Linked DNA regions of Saccharomyces cerevisiae S288C. The gene in region 1 interacts genetically with each later gene. Each region holds a gene or a part of one and is shown on either strand. Other genes may lie near its edges.

Evidence for each region. Genes that interact genetically often act in the same process or in processes that back each other up.
Region 2: mutations in SSK2 (region 1) and YHR210C together harm fitness more than expected from each alone (negative genetic interaction), as found in Saccharomyces cerevisiae (3 studies listed by BioGRID).

Annotation. Positions count from the first base shown.
Region 1 is NC_001146.8:680,131-687,338, forward strand, and holds SSK2 (mitogen-activated protein kinase kinase kinase SSK2), read right to left. Parts: upstream 5,304-7,208; coding exon 564-5,303; downstream 1-563. Other genes in the region: ALG12 (dolichyl-P-Man:Man(7)GlcNAc(2)-PP-dolichol alpha-1,6-mannosyltransferase), read left to right, coding at 1-324; putative serine/threonine-protein kinase PPG1, read left to right, coding at 5,880-6,986; ubiquitin-like protein HUB1, read right to left, coding at 7,113-7,208. UniProt on the Saccharomyces cerevisiae protein: Kinase involved in a signal transduction pathway that is activated by changes in the osmolarity of the extracellular environment. Activates the PBS2 MAP kinase kinase by phosphorylation.
Region 2 is NC_001140.6:520,212-523,559, reverse strand, and holds YHR210C (aldose 1-epimerase superfamily protein), read left to right. Parts: upstream 1-1,822; coding exon 1,823-2,848; downstream 2,849-3,348. Other genes in the region: CRG1 (S-adenosylmethionine-dependent methyltransferase), read right to left, coding at 3,248-3,348.

The sequences.
Region 1 (7,208 bases):
AATACGACTTTACTGCAGGAAATGTGGCCCTCCTTTGATTTCTTGATCACCCACGAGCCAACCGCCTCTCAATTGCCATTCGAGAATAAGACTACCAACCATTGGGAGCTAGTTAACACAACAAAGATGTTTACTGGATTTGACCCAACCTACATTAAGAACTTTGTTTTCCAAGAGAGAGTGAATGTTTTGTCTCTACTCAAACAGATCATTTTCGACAAGACCCCTACCGTTTTTTTGAAAGAATTGACGGCCAATTCGATTGTTAAAAGCGATGTCTTCTTCACCTATAAGAGAATCAAACAAGATGAAAAAACTGATTGATAATAGCTAACGTCAATTCCAATAAAATATATAGCGAGCGTTTTACATTAATCCACCTCGACTAGACTTCAAATTTTCACTTTTATATCTTACCTTTATAAATTTCTGTTCTCAAAATCAAAACAATTATAAAAAAATGCTATCATTAATCTTCTATCCTTGAATTAACATTATATACTCTCCCCCCACTACATTATATTTTGATTTTACATATAATACAACAAACCTTCTCAACTTAACTACTCTCTTTCCTCAGTATCTGTAGAGGAAGAATCGTCGCCAAAGGCTATTTCTCTAATTTGTACAATCCAAGGATCCATCAACAGCTCAACCGCACTGGCTCTCTTGGAGGGGTTTTGAATAAGACATCTTTCCAGAAATTTCATACCAGCAGACGACACTTCATCCTTAGTAGGGAATTGTGGGGTATGTCCTGCAGCAACATGGTACATGATAGCCCATTCATTATCTAAGTTAGCCCATGGCCGTCTACCAGTGATCATTTCTAATACCACGCAGCCTAACGACCAAACATCGTCTGCCCCAAGTTTGCCTTTGGTGGTAGATCCAGTGATGGATTCTGGAGCCATGTACATAGGAGTTCCCATCATGTCTAATAGAGCATTTTCGTTATTTTTCACTGCCTTTGAATCAGAAACATGGGTAACATCTTCGTGTTCACCATCTGCGTTTTCGATTTTGTTCATACTTGCCAATCTAGTTCCATTATTAGCAATTTTTTTAGCAGCACCAAAATCAACATACTTAATAACACCATTAAAATCTAGTAGGATGTTTTCGGGTTTAACATCACGGTGAACAATGCCGGATTCATGCAAATATGCAAGTCCTTCTAGCAATTGTAAAGTGTAGACTTGAGTGACCATTTCATCTTCAATACGACCATGCTCCAAAAGAGCTGCTAGGGAACCGCCTTCACAATATTCCATAAAGATGTTAACTTTATCACGATGAACTTCAACACCGTAATATGAAACTATATTTGGATGGTTCAATATCTCTAAGACACTCATTTCCTCCTTGATTAAGGGGAATATTTTTTGCATTGATTTGCTATCTTGAATATTGATTTCCTTGACTGCTAAAATCTCACCATTATCCAAATCAACAGCAGAATATACCCTTCCAAAAGTACCGCCACCAATAAAGTTCCTCTTTTGCCATCTCATAGAAACGTTCGATATGGAAGATGCCAAAGAAACAAGGTACTTGTTACCTTTGTCACTATCATCAATTACTTTACCAGTTTGATGAGGATTCCGCTTTATCCTTTCTTCCAATTCCATTATACTTTGTACTCGGAACTCGGAATTCACTTGTAGCATCATATCATCGTCAAACACATCTTCCAAATCAAGATTTGATCTAGCTTGTTGATTGATTTTCTCAACTTCTATGGAGCGTGCGCCTATTATATCAAAATGAGAAATAAGTAATGACATGCATTCTGAAATTTTTTGTTTTAAAGAAGAAAATTGGCATTCATCAAGAGCTAGTATGTTCCAACCGCTTACCATATGCATCGCGAACTCCATTGACGTGACACACCACCTAAATACCCTTTGATCAGTCGGATCACAGTCTTCAGCTAAGAACTTCAGCCATCCGATACTTAACCGCATCATTAAAAGTATTATAATGGATCTTTTTTCATTGTTGGCAACATTAATTCTCAAAAAGTTCAGACCAAAATCCCTCCCAAAAAGGAAAATATTATTCAATAAATCATTGACAGGACTTACCTTCTTGAACGTGGTCACAATCTTTGTATAGTTCTTCAGAACACTGTACGTGCATCTGAAATATGCTTTATTTATCCTTTGTAAGTTGTTTTTAACCGTTTCTGAGGAAGATTTTTTTTCCAAGAAAGAAACTGAGCTACCAGATATCTGTTGGAACCTGTCACATTGGTATTCTAAGGCATAACTGGATCCTTGGCACATCAAATCTATTGAATTAGGAATTACTTTCAAGTTCAATCCCTCTGGTTTAATTGTTTTGTTATCGGATAGATTATACATCTCACCCTCCCAAAGTAATGGCTCTTGCGGAGTCAATACCAATACATAACCAAGAGAGTTCAATCTTGTCTCCAGTTCATAAAACTCTTCCTCCGTGCTCCTGCTGTTTTCAAAATCCGGTTCACGATTGACTCTATTACCGTTATAAGATCTAGGCTGGGTGGTCAAATCGTTTTTGATATAATAAAATGGGGTACCATCATTCGAGATATCTGAACCCAGTGATGAGTTGGAGTTCCAATTATCATCCAAAGCATTATAAATTGTCAGACTGTTATTAATTTCTAGCTTAGGCACTAAATCACAACCGATGTCTGAATTCTTAATGATTCTTAAAATATCATCATCTTTACAGCCTAATAGCTCTGGGCTACCAATTAAATAAGTACCATTTTGCTCTAGGTAACCTCCTGTGTATATAAGAAAGTGGCCTGTTTCTTTTAGTTGCTTTAGCAGATAGTTGTGATCTTCTATCTTGTAGCGGACAAAATTTTGAAATGCTTTTGTCAAAATATTGGTGAATCTATTGAGTTTTCTTTTCATGGATCCAAGTATTTCGAATATTTGCACCAGCCATTTTTCAGCAGCAGCTTCATTCTCTAATTTTGGCGGAGTGTTTTGCTGCCTTAAAAGGTAAGCGTGCAATCTGTGAACCAATCTAAGTGTCAACTTCGTAAATTCTGCTGCGATCAGTTCGCCTGCATCATCAATATAATAGCCGACGTTTCTAAACATTTCCCAATATTTTAATAACAGATCAGGTTCTTTAGAAGTCTTGAATGAGTTTTTGCCACTATATAATATTCTCAGTTCCAAAATGGAGAAAAAATATTCCAATCCTTCAACAACGGTATGATCAAATTCGGGATCGATTTTCACTTTAAAAAACCAGTCATTACAGTAAGAAGCAACAGTGAATTTCATTTGGACTGCCAACTTAATATATGTACTAAAATCGTCCATCATTTGATCGATCATCATCAAGGTTGGATTCTGTATTTTCTTCGCGTAAGATAGGCGAATTAGTATTATATCTTTTACCAAACGCATTGGAAACATCAATAAAAATTCCAGATCTTGATCCAAATAAGATAGATTCAATTCATTCCAAGTTTTTTGGTATTTCAAGAAGAAAAATTTGGCCTTCAAAATCCATGGTGCTAATGGAAAGAATATTTTTTTTTGAAATATCAGTTCAATATCCTTTTCCTTCATAATTTGCTCCGCAAAGCGTTTACAATTAGTGGCGAAAACGGCTGGATCATCCAAATTCACGGTGGTGTTATCCACTTCGGTAGTGCTTTCTAGCTCTTTATTGCCAACTATCCATTTTTTCAGGTACGCAATATTAGTATCAAAGTTAAATTTGAAATTAAGCCAACTATTCAAAGTATCTATTCGATTCCTGAATGCTTCTGTTTTAGTAATGGGTTTTTCAGCATGCATTCTTTTAATGTTAGGCCATAGATTTAAGACTCTATAATATTTGTCTACTAGTGATTTGATAGTCTCTGCAGCCTCGTCAGCGCTCATATTATCTTCTAGTTTAAAGGCCATGATTTCTTGAAATACGGAGTCAGTAGAATCCCTAAAAATCCTCAGAGATTTGTTCTGATCTTCCACGGTCCTCCCATTCATCCATGCCTTCAACTCAATCCAAATGTCATCTGAAAACTGAGTATTGAAGCCAGGGCCTTTCCCTTGATTTGCAATCTTCGTTTTTTCATTCCTCACAATATCTCCCTTCAGTACCTTAGATAACATTGTTTGCCATTCAAATCGGTTGTTCACCATAGGATTTTGTAACAATTTTGACAGCAAATCCTCGCTCCCCAGTATGGAATGCCACTCCTCATCTTCTATTTCACACGGTTGATCATTGTTCACATCCCTCAACCAATCCAATTTGCCCTTTAGATAATTTAGGCTCATCGAAACAACATTTTCATTATTTTTTGTGCTCGACGTAATAAAATTATAACCAAAATTGAAGTCGTTATCTTTATCCTCACCTTCTACCTTTAAAAGATCATCCATTTCTAGTTCTAAGTCATCTTCACCTTTGTTACTAAAATTTTCTTCGTCATCTTCAAAGTTGGATGATGCGACTATACCTCTAGTGTAATAATCATCATTAGCACGGTTTCTCATTTTTCTTAAATATAACTGTTCATTTAATACATATTGTTTTTTGTATGTTCGGAGGCTCGTTGTGCTTCCACCATGGTGGCCTACAGACCGTTGCGAGCTATTTGTCGTGACAATATCCTGCAAAGTGGAGGAACTTGTTGACCCATTTGGTTGCGATCTGGTGGGAATGTGTTTGTTCGAAGTTTGGTTTGTAATATTTTGTGGCGTTGACATAATCGATGTATTCGTTGTATTTAGTGAAGCCAGTTCTGGTGATATCACTAACGTTGGGGTCGTCAATAATGGATCTTGATTACTATTCACGGGAGCGGGCTTCTTAATAATCTCGCTCTCTGTTTTACTAGCCTCAACTTTCTTATGTACAGGAACAGGTTGAGTAGACAACTTCGGTAGAGACTGCTGAGGATTTTTTGGTAGAGGAAGACCAATATTCGAGGGCCGTCTACTAGATCTTGCCGAGGAGCTGGAGGACCCAGAAATGGCATTTTGATGAAAAAACTGACCTTGAGGTATACCCGGAAGACGATTGAATAGCTGTACTGTATTTAATGGAGACTCTCCAGGGCTGTAAACAGCGTTTGGTGATCTAAAGTACTGGGTAGAATGCAGCCCTGGGCTGATGGGCGATGACGCTACTCGAGCCTGCGTAGTATTGGAATTTCGCCCTAAACTTTCCGACCTTAGTCTAGATGAAGATGATGAAGATGACTGCCTCATCTTGGAGCTGCTGGGCTTTTCCGTGGAATCGCCGTAAGGCTTATAATTGAAGTAGTCTGAATGCGACATTATTTGTGCCTGTCAAATAGTTTACGCAAAGGCTTCTCTTCTTTTTAGTAATGGCAGACTGTTTGTACTTGAAACTGCCCAATAGTAACTTGAAGGACAGACGGAGCTCACACAAAAGTTAACAAATATGCTGGAACCTTTTTTTTTCCTTTGAATTCTTTGTAAACCAGTAATTCGTTTTGAAAACACCCGTTCTTAGCTGTTCTTTAACAGTACTACTCTCTAAGGCAATAACACACTGGGGCAGCAACAATTACAATCTTCTAACCTCTTCTAATCTGCAGATTTGGCTTCTTTCTATCTCTGTTTACCCACCTTTATCACTCTTTTCAGATTAATCAATTCTTTCCATACAAAGAAACGCCCGAAAAGTGGCGCGAGTTTCCCGGGTGATGGAGCAGTAATTAATAATGCAAAACTGCTAAAATACCCACTGTTTCAGGGTATGAAACGCGGTATTTTCAGCGAGTTGTAGGTAATTTGGAACAGTTCGTGACTGTTTATTAAGTTCCACTCATTGCAGTTGTATCCCCACTGTGTACTTTTATTTTTGGTTAGAGAATTGGCCCAGTAGAGATGGAATTGGACGAATGTTTAGAAAGGCTATACAAGGCCCAGTTACTACCTGAAGTGACTGTAAGGGCACTCTGCTTTAAGCTGAAGGAAATGCTAGTGAAGGAGTCAAACGTGATTCACATTCAGACCCCTGTCACAGTCGTGGGGGATATGCATGGACAGTTTCACGATATGCTGGAGATCTTCCAAATAGGCGGCCCTGTTCCTGATACGAATTATCTGTTCTTGGGCGACTATGTAGACAGGGGGTTGTACAGTGTGGAAACAATTATGCTATTGATTGTGCTTAAGCTTCGATATCCTAGTAGAATTCATCTTTTGAGGGGAAACCACGAGTCACGTCAAATCACGCAGAGCTATGGTTTCTACACGGAGTGCTTGAACAAGTACGGTGGCAATTCAAGAGTTTGGCAATATTTGACAGATATATTTGACTATCTAGTGTTATGCTGTATTATCGACGACGAAATTTTTTGTGTTCATGGTGGGCTCTCGCCCAATGTTCAAACCATAGATCAGATCAAGATTATTGATAGATTTCGAGAAATTCCACACGATGGCGCCATGGCAGACTTGGTTTGGTCTGATCCGGAAGAAAACAATAACCCCACGTTAGATCATCCAGATAACTCTGGACAACATTTCCAGGTGTCACCTCGTGGAGCAGGTTATACTTTCGGAAGAAGCGTGGTGGAGAAATTCTTACGTATGAACGATATGAACAGAATATACAGAGCCCATCAGTTATGTAACGAAGGTTACCAGATATATTTTGATGGATTGGTTACTACTGTATGGTCGGCGCCAAACTATTGTTATCGGTGCGGCAATAAAGCATCTATTCTGGAGCTGTATAGTAAAGATCAATTCTACTTCAACGTTTTCGAAGAGGCACCTGAAAATAAACTGTTGAAAGAGAACAGTATGAACGACAATGCCTTAGAAGATAGCATATCTAATCCGGTAGCCAACAGGAAATTGATTGCAGATTATTTCGAAGACGACTCTGCCTCCGCAGATGGCTCCACGGACCCTGAAATGTACATATTTTCAGATGTATACCAAGCCAGATCTGCTTCTAACAGACATGTTGATTACTTCTTGTAGCTTACTAAACAATAGAAAAGCATTATAGAGACAACGCCATCTTATTATTTCTACATATTCTATCTCTCTCGGTTGCAAATGTATGTATTGTGTATTTAGATCAAAAAAAAAAAAACAGCGCATTTTCTACAGGTAATACAGCTCCAAATTTGTCTGATCATGTACCTCATAATCTTCCAGAGAGATATGGTCTTTTAAAACACTTCCACCCTTCTGCAACAC
Region 2 (3,348 bases), on another chromosome or scaffold:
AACGTGTCTCATTTCTGCGTACAATGCCAAAGTTGGAAGGTTTTCTTGCGTATGGTTCTAGTTCTTTGCCAAATTATTGATTTCAATCACGCTTTAAAGTTTTTTCTGGGTTTTCTCCACATAGGATAGTGACAAGAAGTGCGGTAGCCATGTGGTTTATTGCAGATCACAGTATGAAGGACCTTCAACTTACCTTATTTACTTATTAACAGGAAATTAAGCGTCATAAAAAACTACAGCGGTGATAGGAGCTGTGAAAGGATCCATATTGCTATCGTGAGTGAAAACGAAGACAACCTGAAAATAAGTATTTTTCCGCCGTTCTTCAACGATGTATTTAGATATCAGTCGATATTAACGTATAGGAGGAGGATCGATTATCGTGAAGATAGAAAATAATGACCGAAGAAGATTCCCTGGTAGCGCACACTTCAAACTAAGGGTTGGTCTCCGGTAAATATCAAGATTTGTACATTTGGCTAAGTGCTGGAACCCATGCAATTGATCTTATTGTGATGATTTGATGATATTCCTCCGTCAGAAAGTCCTAGAACACAACCTCTGGATGAAAACAGAAAAGAAAAATATGCAAGATGTTCAAGTGCGCGCGGAGCAAAAAAAAAAAGGAACAGAATACTAAAAGAATACGTCGCGAATCTCGTTATTGACAAGGCATGTTTGGATGAAAACATGTAATGCCCCATTCAGCTTATTTTTCAACATTTTCAGAGTAACACGCAGAAGAAGACTTTGTTTTTCCAAAACCTCCTTTTGCACTCAAAAAGAATGCCAGTTCAGCATGGCATATTGGAGATTATTTTTCATAAAACTGTAAGAATTGTAAAGCAAAACTGGTGCACTGCTACATCAACTCTTATCTTCTTGCATATAAATTTAAATGAAAAGGAACTACTTTGTAATTATCGATATTACATTGAAACCTATGAGGAAGATTATGACATGATAACACTAAACTATTGCTGGCCAGCACCCGAACCGAGTGTCCAAATTGAGTTTTGAATCAGTTTTCAGCTCAGAACAGATTCCCCTTTTCCTTTATTAGGTCGTATCATCATTCTATGTGCAACTACTGCAGCATTTGCGTATAATTATGGAAATAAAATTATACGAAAGTTGATACTTGGTTGTAAATGGCCTAAGAATCGGAAAAAATGGAATTCTATTGGCATGCTATCTTGTTTAATGAGATTATGAAGTTGAATATCATTTCTGCGTTTTGCATTCAAACAATATCATTTCAAAGGCCTATCGCTGTGAGCAATACGCTGGATTTGCTCATCGCACAGTAAGCCTGCACTACCCCACCAAATTACAAGAATATAGTAGAGATCAGAAGCTTATGAGAAGTCACTTCCAAAATTCGCGTTGTCCAACATCCTTGGAATAATTTTTCCTCCTTATGCATCCAGGTGATTGACACTTTTTGACGGGATAAATGCAGGTGGAGGTGGGGGAGGGGTAAAGTTTCGTAAAGAGTGTCAGGTCGCATATCTTTGCACTGCGCAGAAATTCTCGCAGAAAATTACGCTACGGAGAAATTCTCGGGCACTAATATCGTACAAAAATTAGGTTTGTTACGTGATAATATGGCCTTGTACCTGTTAAGTTTTTCCGACAATTAGTTACTAGCTGAATATCTTAAAAAAAGGTAAAAGTAACTCCTCCATGGTTTGGTTATTCATGCGTAAACACCTTGGATGCTCTGAGATATAAAATCAGAATGTACTACGAAGTACTGGAACTCAATTGTACATTATGTTACTGCAATAAGTAAATTCACCTAAAAAGCCAAAAAGTGATAATGTCAAATAATAAGGCTGGCGGTGAATATGAAGTCATCACTATTGGTGATGCAAAAAAGCTTCAAGCAACAATTTCAGAGCTTGGCGCTACTTTGCTTGACTTGAAAGTGAACAACGAATCGATTGTTCTAGGATACCCTGATATTCATGGCTATATATCAGATGGCTACAACTACATTGGTGCTACTGTTGGCCGTTATGCAAATCGTATTTACAAGGGCATGTTCAGTATGGAAGATGGACCTCATCAGTTGACAGTGAACAATTGTGGAAACACCAACCACAGTAGCATCAGCTCCTTCCATCTCAAGAAGTATAAGGCATCCAAAGTCCAAAATCCTCTTGATGACCTTTACATTGTTGAATTTACGTTATTGGATGACCGCACACTGCCCAATGAATTTCCGGGAGATCTAGCTGTAAACTTAAAGTACACATTGAACGTTGCTGACATGACCTTGGACTTGGAATACGAGGCAAAACTGGTCAGCGGTGAGGCTACTCCCATCAACATGACGAATCACACGTACTTCAATTTAAACAAAACTATGGATAAAAAATCCATTAGCGGTACGGAGGTTAGGCTCTGCTCAGATAAATCATTGGAAGTAAGCGAAGGAGCACTAATTCCAACCGGTAAAATCGTTCAAAGAAAAATTGCTACTTTTGACTCCTCCAAACCTACCATTCTGCAGGATGATGGCCCGATTTATGACTACGCTTTCATTGTTGATGAAAATAAGAATTTGAAAACGACAGACTCAGTAAGTGTAAACAAGCTCGTCCCTGCCTTCAAGGCTTATCATCCGGCATCACGACTTTCATTGGAGGTTTCAACAACAGAACCAACTGTCCTATTTTACACAGGTGACAACTTGTGTGATGGATTTACGCCGAGATCTGGCTTTGCCGTTGAACAAGGCAGATATGTTGACGCAATCAACCGTGATGGATGGAGAGACTGCGTTCTTTTGAGACGTGGTGAGGTATATACTTCTAAGACTCGATATCGTTTTGCGGTGTAGGCACCAAATTTAGTTGTTTACTTTGCACTGTCGCATTATTTTTCTATAAATTGAGCTTTTTATAATGAGATATGATCCGGAAACAGCTTTCTGAAGTGCATATGTTATAGTTAATATTAAGAATTTTTTGAGACTTTATTATGTTACCATGATTGCATTATCTTTTAATGTTAACAGTAACAAGTTTACGTATCGCTTTAAAACATAATTACATTCAGAGGTCGGAATTTAGAGCCAATAAAATTTTTAGAGCATATGTTGACGGTTTTAAATTACTCCCAACTGCGCAACAACACCTTATTTTCTTTTTGCCATATTTTAATATTTATTAGCATTTGGGAAATATTTAAAAAAAGAAAAAAATCAGCTTTTTATATATTTCTTTTAATTTAGTAAACCTCATTCTCTTTTCCTACATAAGTAATAAAACGTTGACCACTCTATTTTTAAAGGTACATTCAAATCTTCACAATGACAGATTTCTTTGAGCTCGTTAATGA